Caenorhabditis elegans: one gene and its partners. The protein of the gene in region 4 purifies or fractionates together with the protein of the main gene of each other region. This does not show direct contact. Each region holds a gene or a part of one and is shown on either strand. Other genes may lie near its edges.

What was found.
Region 1: the proteins of snr-3 (region 4) and prp-9 fractionate together in Caenorhabditis elegans (co-fractionation; one large-scale study listed by BioGRID). This does not show direct contact.
Region 2: the proteins of snr-3 (region 4) and hel-1 fractionate together in Caenorhabditis elegans (co-fractionation; one large-scale study listed by BioGRID). This does not show direct contact.
Region 3: the proteins of snr-3 (region 4) and rsp-6 fractionate together in Caenorhabditis elegans (co-fractionation; one large-scale study listed by BioGRID). This does not show direct contact.

Annotation. Positions count from the first base shown.
Region 1 is NC_003280.10:8,522,948-8,527,238, forward strand, and holds prp-9 (Matrin-type domain-containing protein), read right to left. Parts: upstream 2,450-4,291; 5' UTR 2,448-2,449; coding exon 2,304-2,447; intron 2,255-2,303; coding exon 2,096-2,254; intron 2,029-2,095; coding exon 1,502-2,028; intron 1,451-1,501; coding exon 1,189-1,450; intron 1,130-1,188; coding exon 944-1,129; intron 899-943; coding exon 674-898; 3' UTR 547-673; downstream 1-546. Other genes in the region: cht-2 (GH18 domain-containing protein), read left to right, coding at 1-274, 321-490; mrps-18B (28S ribosomal protein S18-2, mitochondrial), read left to right, coding at 2,742-2,840, 2,921-3,014, 3,114-3,172, 3,216-3,296, 3,358-3,741; gldi-7 (Sodium/potassium-transporting ATPase subunit beta-1-interacting protein), read right to left, coding at 3,963-4,291.
Region 2 is NC_003280.10:8,326,352-8,330,651, forward strand, and holds hel-1 (Spliceosome RNA helicase DDX39B homolog), read right to left. Parts: upstream 2,520-4,300; 5' UTR 2,519-2,519; coding exon 2,192-2,518; intron 2,149-2,191; coding exon 1,872-2,148; intron 1,826-1,871; coding exon 1,707-1,825; exon of another isoform or gene 1,582-1,706; intron 1,536-1,581; exon of another isoform or gene 1,345-1,535; coding exon 810-1,344; intron 764-809; coding exon 744-763; 3' UTR 501-743; downstream 1-500. Other genes in the region: C26D10.3 (Pyridine nucleotide-disulfide oxidoreductase domain-containing protein 1), read left to right, coding at 1-41, 89-298, 347-481, 2,941-3,005, 3,053-3,239; C26D10.4 (GHMP kinase N-terminal domain-containing protein), read left to right, coding at 3,417-3,480, 3,527-3,726, 4,257-4,300.
Region 3 is NC_003282.8:7,789,288-7,793,100, forward strand, and holds rsp-6 (putative splicing factor, arginine/serine-rich 6), read right to left. Parts: upstream 1,943-3,813; 5' UTR 1,942-1,942; coding exon 1,888-1,941; intron 1,835-1,887; coding exon 1,704-1,834; intron 1,658-1,703; coding exon 1,550-1,657; exon of another isoform or gene 1,111-1,549; coding exon 958-1,110; intron 911-957; coding exon 817-910; 3' UTR 560-816; downstream 1-559. Other genes in the region: imp-3 (IntraMembrane Protease (IMPAS) family), read right to left, coding at 1-1, 53-202; C33H5.13 (CYSTM domain-containing protein), read right to left, coding at 2,527-2,647, 2,704-2,822, 2,867-2,905; Nucleoside-triphosphatase ntp-1, read right to left, coding at 3,137-3,397, 3,446-3,813. UniProt on the Caenorhabditis elegans protein: Plays a functionally redundant role in shifting germ cell sexual differentiation in hermaprodites. Required for the development of somatic gonad structures and for progression from larval stage to adulthood.
Region 4 is NC_003280.10:6,488,331-6,491,696, reverse strand, and holds snr-3 (putative small nuclear ribonucleoprotein Sm D1), read left to right. Parts: upstream 1-1,935; 5' UTR 1,936-1,943; coding exon 1,944-2,022; intron 2,023-2,236; coding exon 2,237-2,341; intron 2,342-2,386; coding exon 2,387-2,488; intron 2,489-2,535; coding exon 2,536-2,630; 3' UTR 2,631-2,866; downstream 2,867-3,366. Other genes in the region: rsp-5 (putative splicing factor, arginine/serine-rich 5), read right to left, coding at 479-586, 632-710, 1,038-1,289, 1,341-1,528; plpp-1.2 (Phosphatidic acid phosphatase type 2/haloperoxidase domain-containing protein), read right to left, coding at 2,947-3,065, 3,111-3,210, 3,261-3,366. UniProt on the Caenorhabditis elegans protein: Plays a role in pre-mRNA splicing as a core component of the spliceosomal U1, U2, U4 and U5 small nuclear ribonucleoproteins (snRNPs), the building blocks of the spliceosome.

The DNA of each region.
Region 1 (4,291 bases), 2.0 Mb from region 4:
CCAGTGAAACCAAGCCAAAAGATCACATGGTACACATCGGATGCTGGAGAAGGGAAACGTGGACGATGTGGTCGAGATGTTCCACCTTTAGAAGGAGAAGCGCCAACTTGTAATCCAGATGATGCTAATGCTCATTGTTGTAGTAATGGAGGTTACTGTGGAAATTCAAAGGAACATTGTGAATGTAATGGATGTATTGATTTTGCAAAACAGAGAGATTTCAAATATAAACCATTAGAATGGTGGACATTTTCTGAGAATCCAGCCAACGTTGGTGAGGGAACAGGCCCTCAATTCAACTTATAAGAATATATCTTCAGGTCGTTGTGGTTACAATGCTCCACGACTTTCTACTGGAAAAATTCCAAAATGTGATCCGGATTCTGAATCCTACTGTTGCAGTAATAGTGGCTATTGCGGAAAAGGAGAACAATATTGTAGCTGTTTAGGATGTGCTGATTTCAAGGCAAATCCTGCATTTGAGTATTAAACTTTCTCACTACTTATCTGAAACTGTATATACCGATAAATTATTTCAATTGTACTAAAATTACAAAAAAGTTTATCCATTAAATTTGAAAAATGAGACCAATTGGTTAAAAACTTACAGAAATGTAAGATTAAAAAGGAAAAAAAATAACTTAGAAGAACAATGGAATACATAAAATAGCGTCTACAGAAGTCCTTGTCTTTTCAAATCCTCATACATCTTCCTGGTGACCACATTTCCGCTGGAGTCCTCGTACTCCTCATCGATGTCCGGATTCCATTTAGCCATCTCCTTTTCGGTTTTCAATTTATTCCATAAATCCAGTGCATCTTTGATCTTCGTAATGTTGGCGAAATGAGAGGTATTCGGAATTCCAAGACATCTCATTCCATGAGAATGTCGCCACTCCTGCAAATATCAAGTTTTTGAACGAGACCAATATAATGAACTTACGTTGAAATGCTTTTGGAACGCCTTTGGACCTTTGTAAGTTTGATTTCCACAGATTTCACATGAATATGATAGATTGAGGCCGTGAAGTTTGTACAACCAATACGGAATTGGCTTTCCATCCCAACCAAGCGGTAGATTTTTTGGATTATATGGTGCACTCTCATCAATTTCTTCCTCTTCCTCGATCTAAAAAATGAATTTTTAAATGTTTCTAAAAATAACTAGAGAAAATAATTCAAACCTACCACAATTTCCTCCTCCTCCTCTTCTTCGACCTCTCCAGCAGATCTAGCTTGTTTTCTCTCGACATTTTCGCGAGTTCCAGTACGTTCTTCAGCTAGAATATCAGCAAGTGCCATAATATGAGCTTCCGTTTGTGCCAATGTCAAATTTTTAGCGTTCTGCTTTTCGGCATCGGAATTATTTGAAGACATTGCTGCTTTTTCGAGATCTGACAGTTTATGCCCTTTGGTAGCGAAAAGACGATCAGCGCGTTCTTTCAGAGTTCTGAAAAATAACGAGGACTACAATTAAAAAATCCAAATATTTTTAACTCACCCTCCACATTTCAGACCAATTGCCATGAGAGCTCCTTTCAAACGTTCCAATCCCAATCCCTCGAGTTCTTCAGCACTATTGTATGGAGATAAATCCACAGCAGCTGCTTGAGGTCCGTTCTTGTTTTTATCAGCTTCCCAACCAGGAAGATTCCCTGCTTTAAATGCTCTTTCTACAGTTTGATTAACCTCAGAGAAAACTGAATCGAGATCATGGAGTGGGCGAGTTCGTTGCATGAAAGAAACAAGATAGTCTTTTAAGGAATTGATGTATTCTTTATATGCTCCTGTCTTCTTGGTAGTATTTTTCGGTATCTCTGTGAATTTCTCAAAATTCAACAAATACGTCATGTAATCAACCCTTTTGATGTTCTTCAAGTTAATGAATTTGTCGTATTGTGCATGAAGATCTAGAAAACGACCGTAAGCTTCTTCATCACTGAATTCAACCATATCTGGCTCGGCTCTTTCAGGGTTGATGATTTCTTCATTGATTTTTTGGAACTCCACGGTGAGTGGTTCGGCAAGCTGAAAATGTATAGAAATTATATTACAACCAAACTTAATTGTTTCCGGGGAAAATAACAAAACTAACCTCGTCTGGATTTCTTCTGTGCGCATCTTTGATGACCTTCAGTCTTGAATAAAATTCGGCGAACTCATTTGGACCAGAAACTGAATCCATTTCCATGCTCTTCGAACCGTCTTCATCTTTATAAAATTTGGCAAGCTCGGCGGAAACTGAATAGTACCTCTGAAAAATAATAATATTGAATTGAAATAACATAACAGTTATTTCTTACATCGACAAATGTTTTCACTCGCTGTTCGCTATTAACTTTGGCCTTATGCGTTAACTTTTCTGCAATTTTTTCCTTAACAGTTATATCGATTAATCGTTCCCGTTCCTCGTGCAAGTTTCTGATGGTTTCTAGACACGAATCCATTTCTGTAAAGTTTTCTTACAACTAAACATTTAAAAAATATTAAATTAGTGAATAACTATTCATAAAAAAGATTAAACAAGACAGAAGAATAAAAATTTGAGAAAAATAAGATGTTCGAAAATGTGCAACTTGACGTGACGGTGAACACACATTCCTTGCGTACACCGCATTTAACTTGACGCACAAAGTATATTATTTTATTTTTAAGTTTTTAATTGTAATTTAAAGCTATAAGCTTGTACTTTTTAAATATAATTAAATTGTTTAAAAGTTGTCTAAGTCAGTATTTCAGGTATGTTAGCCACTGGGGGATCATTCGCACGAAGGCTGATTCATTCTTCCTGCCGATTGGCTTGCGAAGGAAAAACTAAAGAAGTTCCGACTCCAGAAGAGGTAACTGATAATATATTTGAACTAAACTAATTTCTATGTTAAATTTATAAACAATTTTACTTAAAAATCGATATATTCAGGCCGGATACGCTTACAATCATGTTGAACGAAAGAAGGGAATGTACAAACCACAACACAGTATTGCCGAGCAGATTTCCTATATGAAAAGTCGAGGTAATATTCAATTTAGTTTCAAAAACAAAATAAGAGGAATTCTTTGTGTACAGCTTTCATGAATGCCAATTAAAAATTAAATTATTTAATATATTTCAGGATACGCAGAGGCTTACAAAGGACTTCCGATTTACAGATGGTATAAGAGAAACATCAAGGTAATTTGAATTCGAAAAATAAATAAATTGATTGAAAATTCAGGGTCAATCGAAACTTCAACCACCTCCAAGACTTTTCTGCATTGATAAACACGGCCGATTCAATCTAAATCATGCTTGTCCAGTAAGTTTTTGTAACAGCAACTAACATTTGCAGATATAACAAACAAATTCACGAATTACAGGTGTGCCGTGACGAATATCTATACTTCGACTACCGAAACCCAGGTCTCATTGAACAATTTTTGGCAGATGGCACCGACCAACCAATCGATATCCTGAAGAGTGGACTATGTCGTGAACAGTACACGCTACTTCGTGCACAACTTCTGAAAGCAAAAGAACATGGAACAATCACATTTGGAGTAGAATTCCGAAACTTTGATTATCGTCAATGGTACAAAAGCTGGACAGATGAACCTGGAAAGCCTGTTGAGAGAGCTGGTGTACGTCTGCAAGATATTCATCCAGATCCACTTGTTCACTTCCCAACATTCAAAAATGACAAGAACAACGACTGGGACGAATGGTGGATTCGTCATGATAAATTTGCCAAGAAGGCAAAGTAATTGTTTTAATTTTCCTAGCGTGTTCGGTTTTCAGCAATTTTCTTCGAATTTTAGTAGGTCTCTATCGTAATTTGTTATCACTTGTTGTTGGTTCTAATAAAAATTGAGCTCAATTATTTAAACATTTATTTTAAAAAAAGCAGAAAGAATACAAAAAAGAAAGAATAAACCCGTATATAGTGCCTAGAAAAAGACGGCAAGACATGAGATTTGAGTCAAAATTAAACAAGAAGTCCACCACTAGTCATCACGGGATAGTTAGATTCATTCTCAACAACCGATGGATCACTGGAAAGTGGAATTTCGTTGGGAGCGTGATAGTGACTTATAACACGAGCATTTTCAGTTTTCTGGACCCTGAATGCACTTTTATAAGACTGATTCTTGGCTCCTAGTTGCTCCGATAACCGTATTCCTGGAGAAAGAATCGGGGATGGATCAACAGTTGATAACGAAATTCCACCTTTCCCAACAATGTGAGTTTTGTGTGCCAACGAAGCTCCAGATGTTCTAGAAGAAGATCCAGAAGTTGTAGAAGATGGGGCTGGAG
Region 2 (4,300 bases), 1.8 Mb from region 4:
CCCAAAATTTGTCGGTACATTACATGGATAAAGAAAAGATGGTATCATTTTAAGTTATCGTACCATTAAGCCTAGTTATTTTATTAAGGCAGATAACCAGCTCAATCCAGATATTTTTATTTGGGCAGGAGGTGTAACTGCCAACTCAGAAGTCTGGGCTATGAATAAAATGCTCCAAATCACTGAAAATAGTGGAATTAAAGTCAACGACGCTTGCGAAACCTCACTTCCTAATGTTTTTGCATGTGGAGATGTTTGTGCACTGACTACCACAGAACCATCAACTCTTTGGCAACAAGTTTTATAACCATAGATTGAGTGTTAAATAAAGTTGAAATATTTTAAGAGACAATTGTGGACACAAGCACGTCAGCAAGGAGAAGTGTGTGGAAGAGCGATGGTGGCAGGCGTCGAAGAGGCTCGTATGCAGAATATGTATTTCGAACTGTTCTCGCATTGTACGACTTTTTTCGGGTTAAAGGTGAGATAAATAACAATTTGCATGGTAATTGTCGAATTTTATTTCCAAACACTCATGAAAAAAGAAAAATAAATAATACAGTCAAATTTTTTTGCGTGTAGTTGGAAACTGTTAACGATAACGAAAATTGGTAAATGAGACCACAAGAAACAGAGGTCGATAATTTAGGGGAAACAATAGGCATTTTACTCCATCAGCACAATGCCGGGTAAAACGAAGGTGGAACTCATATTTAGTTGAATGCATAGGAGGGTACATGGAATCAATTGGTTCGGCCTTCGACTGAAAATAAGAATTTTTGAATGGGCGTTGGTATATATAAACTCACTGTAGGTAGAGACATCGATCTTTTCTGGGAGCTCAGTGATGCTGATATCGAAGCGGTCTTGAACGCTGTTCAAGGTCTTGGCGTCATTCTCATCAGAAACGAAAGTGATGGCCAAACCCTTGGTTCCAAAACGACCAGCACGTGCAACTCTGTGAAGATACGAGTCGGAATCTTCTGGCATGTCGTAGTTGAACACGATGTTGACTCTTTCGATATCCATTCCACGTCCAAACAAATCGGTGGCCACCAAGATTCTCTTTTGGAAGTCTTTGAATGCTTGGTATCTTGAAAGTCGCTCTTCTTGAGCCATTTGACGATGAATGGCAATTGATGGGAAATTTTGTTCTGTGAGGAGCTGGTGGAGAGCTTCGCAACGTTTTACGGCCTTGACGAAAATGACGACTTGGTTGAACTCGAGTGCATCGAGAAGATTCAGCAAACGACGGTTCTTCTCGGCTTCCTTCAGTTTGACGTAATGTTGCTGAAGTCCGTGCAGAGTGAGCTTGGCTTCGTCGTCGACGTAGACTTCCATTGGCTGAAAAAATGTTTTAAGGTCTAGAACGGCAGCACGGTGATGAATCGGGGGCTGGAACGTGTTTTGCAGTACATGTCACGTGTTCCCGACAAGTCTTTCGACCTATTAGCAATCAGCTTCGCTGAGGCGAGCCAGCTACCTCCCCCGAGGACGATGGCTTCTGCGTGGCGAGAGGCTTAACAAGATGAGATCTGAAATCCGAGAAATCAAAAAGCGACTTCGGAATTAACGACCAACCAAGTTCTGGCCATCTCTTTCGCATCACGGAACACACATGACTAGCATTTTGGTTTGATACATGTTTTTTGTTTCAAAAAAGTGAACAGCGGTTCCGTAGGTTCCGGATCAGAGATAAAGCGTACGTCTTGCATGAATCGCTTGCAAACAGTGCGAAGCTCCTTTGGCAATGTGGCGGAGAACATCATCACTTGCTTCTGTTGTGGAGTCATCTTGACGATTTCTTGAACATCCCGACGCATATCTGAAAAAGTTCAATAATGATTCCTATATTTACAAGTATTTCTTACCAGCATCTCCGATCATCTTGTCGCACTCGTCCAGGACGAAGTACTTGACTTTGTCAAGCTTCAGCTTGCCAGAACGAGCCAGAGCCAACATTCTTCCTGGAGTTCCAACAACAATGTGTGGACAGTCATTGGCAAGGCGTTCCTCATCTTTCTTGATGGCCATTCCACCGAAAAAGACAGCTACCTTGACTCCTGGGAGATATTTGCTAAATCTCTCATACTCCTTGGAAATTTGGAATGCCAACTCGCGAGTGTGGCACATGCAAACAACAGATACCTGAAAACAATGATTTATTGAAATTTGATGTATTACTGTTTACCTCGCCATCCACTGGCTCCAGTTGTTGAAGAGTGGTGATTACAAAAACAGCGGTTTTACCCATACCGGACTTCGCTTGGCAGACAACGTCCATTCCAAGAATGGCTTGAGGAATGCACTCATGTTGTACTTCCGATGGATGTTCGAAACCGCAGTCTCCGATGGCACGAAGAATTTCTGGCTTCAAGAGGAAGTCACGAAATCCGGAAGAATGAATAGAAGCATACGTTCCTTTAGTTTTTCTGGCATCGCCTCCGCCAACTTCTGGCTGCTTGTCTTGGATCTCCTCCTGCTCCTCTTCGTAGTCAAGAAGTTGTTCCTCTTCCATTCTGAAACAAAAAAAAATAAAGGTCTTCATAAAAAGGGGCTTGAGATTAATCCTAATTTCACGAAGAAAATAGAGAATAGTGTTTAACCTATTAGAGAAAGTCACAAATAGAACAATCAAAAGAAATTTAGTAAATAACCTCACAAAAACAGATCAAAACAGGAAAATGCAGAGCGGTTGCTCCTCATGAAGAATAAACCGCGAAACGATACCCATTCGAATATTTTCGACGCGCGACGCACACGCAACGCGTCGCTTCGTATGGTCTCGCAGCGAAGTAATTAGCAATGGGCGGGTGTTCAAATACGAGAGGGGGAATGTGGCTGTAAACAGCTGTCCAGTGCACAAGACAATATTAGTAGCGAAACGATCCGAAAGATAGATGTGTGCAAAGAATCATAGAAAAACAAATGTTCTTTCAGGTGGTGTTTCTTGGAGACTACAAACCAGAGAGACAGGTGGAAGGAGAATGGAAGATTGTATTGAGGTACTGTACACTTTTTAGATTACAATGAAACATGCTCTAATATTCAGAGACGCCGATAACGATCAACTCGTTCGATGTGTAGTCGTCAAAAATAAGATTGTCGGTGCCCTTCTAATTGGCGAAACTGACATGGAGGAGACACTCGAAAATCTGATTCTCAACAAAACAGATCTAGAAGGCATTTCAGAAACATTCTTGGAGCCGGGAGTTGATCTCGATGATTATTTTGATTAGATTATTATTATACTGTATGATGTTTATACATTTTGTTGTGTTTGAATAATATTAAACCAGTTTTCTACTATCTTTTTCACATCTATACATTTTCTGCGTCTCCATCTCTTTACCACGTGGAATACACCAGTGCTAGTCGTATTCTCCTTGCTCTCTTACACTCTTTTTCTCTATCAAATGCGTTGGGACATTGTCACATTTTCATTAGGGTTCAATATAGAGCCAAGTAGTATTGATTCAGGTTCAATTTTCATACGATATAAACTACAGACACACTCGTATTATAGATATACGACATTTCCAAAATATCGCCTTTCCGAATTGCGAAGAAATACTTGTAGTAAATGATGCATCAGAAGATATAGGATCTTGTGGAAGTGCATTGAATGCATTAATAAGAACTGCTGAAAGGCTATGCTACAGGAATAATTTGACAGTACTCACAGAATCCGTCTTGCAAGACGTGAACGTGTTAATTGTTTTGGTGGTGAGTACTTTTTATTATTTCGATAAAATAGTAGAATAAAAATTATAATTAATTTCTTGGACATTGAGAAATAGCTGTAATTATAATTGTACAATGAAATAGGCATAAATACATTTTTTGTCTCAAGTTTCAATATTTACGGTGGCGTGTAGTAAAACATCTTAAAACGTGTTGAAATTTTCCATTTTTAGTCAAAAAGTGATGATAATAGAGTTTTCGCCATTCACAATTTTGGATGCCGACCAAAAAATAATAATTTCTACGAGCTTAATATTTATTGCGTTTCAACTGTATGTTTTAAACATGTTTTAGAACACTTCTGGGTTAAAACCTGCATCAATGCTCAAGATTATTCAAAAAGCCAATACATTTGAAAATTTGGGAATTTGTCAAAACGTTGTCTGAAAAAACTTTTTTAGAATGTTTTATTATGCTTTTTCGTTACTTTAGGTTTATTTAAACTGGGATTATATGAACACTCAACTATCTATAGATATGTCGCAGGGGTTACTGTTGTTGGCAGTTTTCAGAGCGATCCCCGAACACTTCAAAACGCAAAAGACAATTCAACAAT
Region 3 (3,813 bases), on a different chromosome or scaffold from region 4:
GCTGCAATTTTTTAAAATTAATTTAAAGAAATATATTTTATTAAAAACTAACCTCGAAAAAGTAAATTGTAGATGCCCTTCGACAGGAGTGATAAAGTACAATCCATGAAAGAATTAAAATGCTCGCCGATGCGGCAATCTTTGCCACGTCGTCTCGCATTTTTGGTGGCGAATCCTGAGCTTTTTTTGAATCAGTACACATACTTTTTCTTTCTGGGAATAGCACGTGCTAACTGTGAGACGATACGAAAACAAAAATGGCAAGAGACGAAGAGAAATCAAGTAGAACCGTACTATATAAAGACCTGTTTATCCTTTGCCATACGAAACAAAAAAGAAACGTGCGTTGCTGCCGGTGGGACGACACATAAAGAGAAATAAAGAATGTGTGGGAAAATCAATCTTCTACTGCTGGCCGGTGACCAACATTTTTAAAGAGCACCACAAACACGTGCTGCTCTCTAGTTCTCCAAGCAGTTGTTTACACATTCGAAAACGCTCTCACAGAGCAAAAAGTCGCACAAAATAAGGTCTCCCTGGATTTCCCCGTTCACAAATTACCGAAATATTACTTTTATTTTCCGACAACAGTTTATAAAATGGATGAAAGTTCACGATTTTAGGTTACAAAAAGAGGAACAAAATAAAAAAAGACAGAACAGTGAAAGGTAATAATGGTAAAATTCGGTTAAACAACAAAGAAATTAAATTTAGTGAAAACTTTTTTAAATCATTGATTCGAGATTCTTCGGAGGAATTAGGGTTGCAAATTGATGTTGTGGAGAAGATACTGTATGGTCTTGGATCTTCCACAATTTAGTGCGGAGAAGCAGAACGGCTGCGAGAACGGCTTCGAGAGCGGGAGCGACTCTTCGAGTGAGAACGATCACGTTCTTGAGGAGATCGAGATCTGAAATTTCTCATTTAAATTTAAATAACTATATCCAAAACTCTTACCTTGAACGAGTACGTTCTCTTTCGCGACTGCGTTCACGACTGCGATCTCTGCTTCGGTCACGACTGCGATCACGGCTTCTGTCGCGGCTGCGATCACGTCCACGATCACGAGAGCGTGAACGGGAACGTCCACGGTCTCCTCGGTATGGCGATCTGAAATAAACAATGTTAAAACATTCCGAATATTGCATATTTGTCGAATACATCTTTCCTGCAGATGGCAGCATAAAGAAAGGTAGATGTAACTTTCTTACTGAATGGGAAGATTCAGCCGACGAAGGCATGATGAGACGATTTTGTCAGAAGCTCGATTCAGGAACTACTGCGGAGAATTAACTGATGAAAAGAGTCAAAAACAATTCTGGTGCGATGATTTTGGGAGAAGTAAAGGGCGCGTAGCGATGTGGAAGAGAAGAATGTGTCGTGAAGACAGAAGACGGAGAGGAGTGGAAGATAGTGATGTTTGGGATGGCAGATGGGGACGCGGACGAGCGGAGTCCGCTAAAATTAAAAATTTGGTCCACGGTTTTACCGAATAAAATTTTTAATACAGCTCTCTTTTCCTTTAACTATCAAATTATTTTCAACTAACCTGTCTCTTCCGCCACCACCTCGGCCGCCGAAACCTCCACCACGACCGCCACCGCCACGTCTTTGTCCAGTTGAAAGTTCAACACGAGCACGGACACCACAGATTCTTCTATAATTTTGAAGCATTAAACGAATATCCAAAGCAAACAACTTACGATCCGTCAAGAGCGCGGACAGCATCTTCAGCGTCACGAACGTCGTCGTATTCCACGAACGCAAATCCAGGAGGGCGACGAGCTACCCAAACCTTACGGATCCTTCCAAATCGATCAAAAATCTCTTCGAGCTGAAAAATGTATATTTACATAATTACTGTTAATGGCTCAAGATTGAACTCACTTCTTGTGATGTTGCATCACTCGGCAGACCGCCGACGTACACCTTGGCGTCCATACTGAAAAATCAAATTAATTTATGAAGTTGCAAAAGAACGAAGTTTGAATATTCAAAAAATAATTATTGAGAAACAAAAATAAGTGTGAAACGGAGATAGCTCGAGAGCAACGCGCGCGAAATGATTTCAATAAACGCGACGCAGCTGCTCGCGATGCGTGTAGTACGGTAACACTTGTTTCAGCTGTGCAGATTTCCTAATGTCGGGGTGAGATAACGGCGCGAATTCGAACGAAAATTTCAGTTGCAATTAATCTTTTTGATAAATGCATTTTATAAATAAGCCGAATTTGTTGCACTGTATAACGGATACATGTATTAATACAGAAATTGTGCAATAAAAAGTAAACTCGAATGCATCACATTTACACTTAATTTTTTAAAGCATGCCTTGTTGCATGTTTCCACTAAAATATGTTTTATAAAAAAACCGAAATGATAACTATCTTCTGAAAATATACATACAAATGTGAAAGTAGAATTGTGCTGAATTTATTTCTAAGTAGAAATAGCAAAACCAGTCAAAGTTTCAATTGATTTTTATATATCAATTGCAAATTTATGAACCAGATTATCAAATTAAAATTATTTGCTCAAACACAAAAAACATAGACAAGCCATTAAACCAGCTAAGCAACACATTTCGCCTCCTCCTCCCCCGTGCTCCCGTTCACGATGATGATGATGGTGATGGCAGTCGTCAACTCTGAAAGAAATAAGTCAATATTATTAATTTTTCGCGAAATATCGAATAGAACTCACATGACAGTTTGAGGCTGTTGATAATATACTGCATATGCTGGTTGAACGCCTTGTCCGATGGGAACACCGGGTTGTACTGTGTAGACACCTTGTGGAGGTTGTGGATATGCGTTATAAGCCTTGAATCATTTTCGGTTTAGTTTTTTTCAAAGATCGAACTCACTTGATTGTAAGGTGGCGGTGGTGGTGGTGCGCCGCTCATTGTCAAATACTGAAAATATAGTGATAAGAGAATGACGATTCAAAGACGACGAGTTTATAAAATACTCCTTTTCCTTATTTGCCTTTCGCTGATTCATCTAGAAGTGAAGTGACGAAACTTAGTTATCATTTTAATCGGGTTGAATATAAAGTAAAAGACCAGTCACACCTTTTTATTGCATTTGACATGAAAATAATGATAAATTATAATTGTTATAAGTTAAATCATGCTCTACACATTTAGAAAATCCGGTTTAGAATCGGTTCGCAGAAAATTATATTTTTTGTACGTAGATTCAGATTGAAGTTGGCGATATAAAGCAACTGCCAGTACAATGATAAGAATGACAAAAAATGAGAAGAAATTTGATATTTGTTGGGTAGATTGCGCAACTTCAAGTTGTTCTAGTAGGTTGAATTTGAGATCCTTTGAGTGATAAAGCATTGCTCCTAGAGCCCATTGCATTTCTTCACCGGCTATTTTCAGAACACTCTGAAAATATTTATCTTGAATGTAAGATGTGTCTTTAAAAATTCATACCTGAAACAAATGCTTGGTTTTATCCACATTAAAACCGTCATGAAGTACACTGGTCACCCAAGCAGCTTTGAAACAGTTTGTTCCAAGTCGTTCAATGTCAGCGTTGGGAAATTCATTTCTTTTGAATCCATCTTGAATATCATTCCAATCTTTTTGGCAGTATTTTCGAACTTCGTCCGTAAATTTTTGATAATGATATTCGCCACCAGATCCGAAATTGCTTGTCGTATACCAGTATTCTGAGAAGCCATACAATTGAACAGTTGATAGGTTAACTGATGGAGCAATCACGTTACGTAGGAAACATGTTGGGTTTGGACAAGAAGGTTGAGCTTTATCACCGATTAAAGATGATACTTGTGCAAGAC
Region 4 (3,366 bases):
TCACTCGCAGGCTTTCAAAATTCGCCTTTTTTTCGGTTTTTGTCCTAGTTTGCAACTCTTTTCAATTTAGAGAATAGAAAACGATAAGCTTTTTGTTTAGAAAACTCGAAAATTTGCGTTCTATTTCAATATATGAGTATAAAAATTAGCTCGAAAATCTCGTAAAAGGTTTTTTCTAATAATAATGACTATAAAAAGTACAACGGCAATTTCCAGAACAGTAAAAATAACAAAGCAGTAAATTAGCCCAAAATTGCGTTCGACCTTCAAATTCCCCAATATTGTACAGTAGTTGAAGTAATCGTGGTGAGACCTGTGTGAATAATACCATGTGCCTTTAAATATTTTTAAAAAATGAAGGAAGTCTCCGCTCGGTTTTATTCGGGAATTATTAAAATCAGAACAGCTCTGAGGATGAACAAATATTATAAAATAGAAGTGGTAAATGAACAACAGTAAACGGTATAAAAACACAATTTTAATCCTTTGGAGATCCTGGAGACGGAGAGCGAGACACACTGCGATTGCTGCCATCTCGGCTGTGACTTCTTCCACGGCTCACGCTGCGCTTTCTATCTCCGCCGTTCTGAAACCATATGATTTTTACTATACAAGCACATAAATGAATTACCTTTGGGGGAGATCCACTTCGGGTTCTGCTTCGATCTTTTGCTGGCAGTGGTGAACGAGATCTCGACGCTTCACGCTTCCTAAAATATAATTCTTGCATTTAATAGAGTCGGAATCTAAAGGACTCGAATACGAAACCGATATGTTTGCGCGAAGTTGTCTGATTCAAAGTTAGGGATCTCACTCTTTTAATCGAAACAGCGGCTTTTGGTAACTGTGGGGACTGAACGAGAAGTGAATTGAAATGTATTGATAGTTGACCCATACTGTGCTCGAACTGTCTCAGCTATGTGTATGCCATTGCGATGTGGGCTTGTAGGTGATATTGATTTCTCATTGAACTGTGGCTAAAACGGTTCGTGATGTGGCACCCTTCCAAAACAATCCACACATTAAAGTTAACTTACAAGTCTCTTTTCGGGCTCGGCGAACGGGATTCGCTTCTGCGACGACTTTCACGAACTGGTGATCTGGATCTGGAGGAGCTTCTGGAACGGGATCTGCGAGAACGTTTGCGATCACGAGAGCGGGAACGTCTTCTTGGTGGAGTACGTGAACGACGTCTAGGAGAGCGGGAACGTCGTCGTGGTGATCTCGATCCATGACGGTCATTGCCGCGTGGTTTTCCGCGAGCCATTTCCACGACAAGGCGCATAGAGCTGAAAATAAAAAGTTAGAACATTTTTAATTTTGGTTTATTATTTTATTACCTTCCTTCCATGGTTTTTCCATCCAAATCATGGCATGCGTCTTCAGCATCACGAGAATCTTCAAAATCGACAAAGGCAAATCCATACTTCATTGAGATGTTATTAATTTTGCCATATCCTTTTAAGAATCGCTCAACGTCGCGTTCGCGTGCATTGTATGGAATTTTTCCTAGATAGAGGCGCGGCATTTCTGGAAAATCACTTTATATTCAAAAATTAATTTATTAAACGCCGTTCATTAAGCCCAGTAAAAAAAACACATGAATTCGAGAAATCAATCTCAATTTTAAGAAGAGAAAGTCCTAAGTCAAGAAAAAGAAATTCTATCAAAAGCGCACACATGAAAACGAGTGCGACCGTACTCCTAGTCGTTGCGAGACCACTTGGCATGCCGCCAAGTCTTTTGCATTTTCGAATGTGCTCAAAATGACTGGATTCCAGTCACTGGAAATCTGTTTTGAAACATTTTTCCTTGATGCAGATGTTTTTATTTGTCATAACCTCTTTCTTATCAGTTAAAAGTTATTTTTATCGTCGTATTTTCTATTGAATTCCATCGTTTCCTTTTATTCTTCTATAATTGTATGTATTTCAGGTAGAAAAATGAAGTTGGTCAGATTCCTGATGAAGTTGTCTCACGAGACCGTCAATATTGAATTGAAGAACGGTACTCAGGTGTCCGGTGAGTATTTTTTAAGATTAATTGTCTGCTTGAAAGTGTTTTAATCGAGAAGTTGAGTTATTAACCAACCAAAATCAATCTTTCACGAATTGCTCGACATTTGTTATAGTGTTTTTATATTAGGATACATTTTCAAAGTCATAAATCCGAATAATATTGTATAATTTTAATTACTGCAAAAACGTAACTAAACAACTAAATCGATTTTATTTAGGCACTATCATGGGAGTCGATGTTGCGATGAACACACATCTTCGTGCCGTCTCAATGACAGTTAAGAACAAGGAGCCAGTCAAACTCGACACGCTTTCAATCAGAGGTTATTAAAAATCATATTTGAATAAATATAATTTAAGATTTTCAGGTAACAACATCAGATACATCATTTTGCCGGATCCACTCGCTCTTGACACCCTTTTAATCGACGATGAACCAAGAAAGAAGGCCCGTGCCGCTCGCGCCGGAGGTAGCTTTAAGCGTCTTTTCGACAGATTATTAATATTTTTATTTCAGCTTCACGTGGACGTGGTCGTGGTGGAATGCGCGGAGGAAGAGGAGGTCGTGGTCGCGGACGCGGAGGACCACGCGGAGGCGGTCCACGTCGTTAAGCTATCATCGGGTCATAGCAAATTTGAGTATCGAACGTCCTATACTTTTGTATCACGTTCCTCAAGTTTAATTCACATTTTGTTCCCGTTAAAGTTGCTGACTTTTGTTTAAATCTTTTGAAATAATTTATTACGGCTTTCCGAGTCAACACAAATTTCCCAAGTTTCGCAGCCCGTGAGAACAACTGTACTTTATTTTGTTGTTACGTTCTGATCTCTATAAATTTCTTCAATTCAAGCATTAAGAGCAACAACATAAGGGCAAAAATTATTTATATTTAAAACAAAAAATTCGAATAAAAACAAGAAAATTGCATTATGCACTTTGCGGAACCGGCAACAAAATTGTATCCGAGTCCTGCGGTCCAGTAGCTTCAAAAACAATAGAACTATCCGTAGAAGGTAAAACTGCATCCAATCGATGTCGCTCCTCATCTGGAAAAAAATATGTAATTGAGTTAAAATTTACGATGGACCAACCTTCAGAGTTTCTGGGAGTACGGGGTGGTCGAGGAAGCAGAAGAGGTTGTGTTTCAGATTCAGTTGAATTGTTTGAGAACAAATCTGTCCAGAAGGTACACTGAAAGCAGAAAAAATGCGAAAGTTCCCAAACACTCATAATAATATTACAGTGTAAACAGCCAAGAATATTCCAATGAAAATTCCGACAAGAACATCGCTCCAATGATGCTTATTATCAGTGATTCTGGAGAAGCTAATTCCAAGTCCAATCATA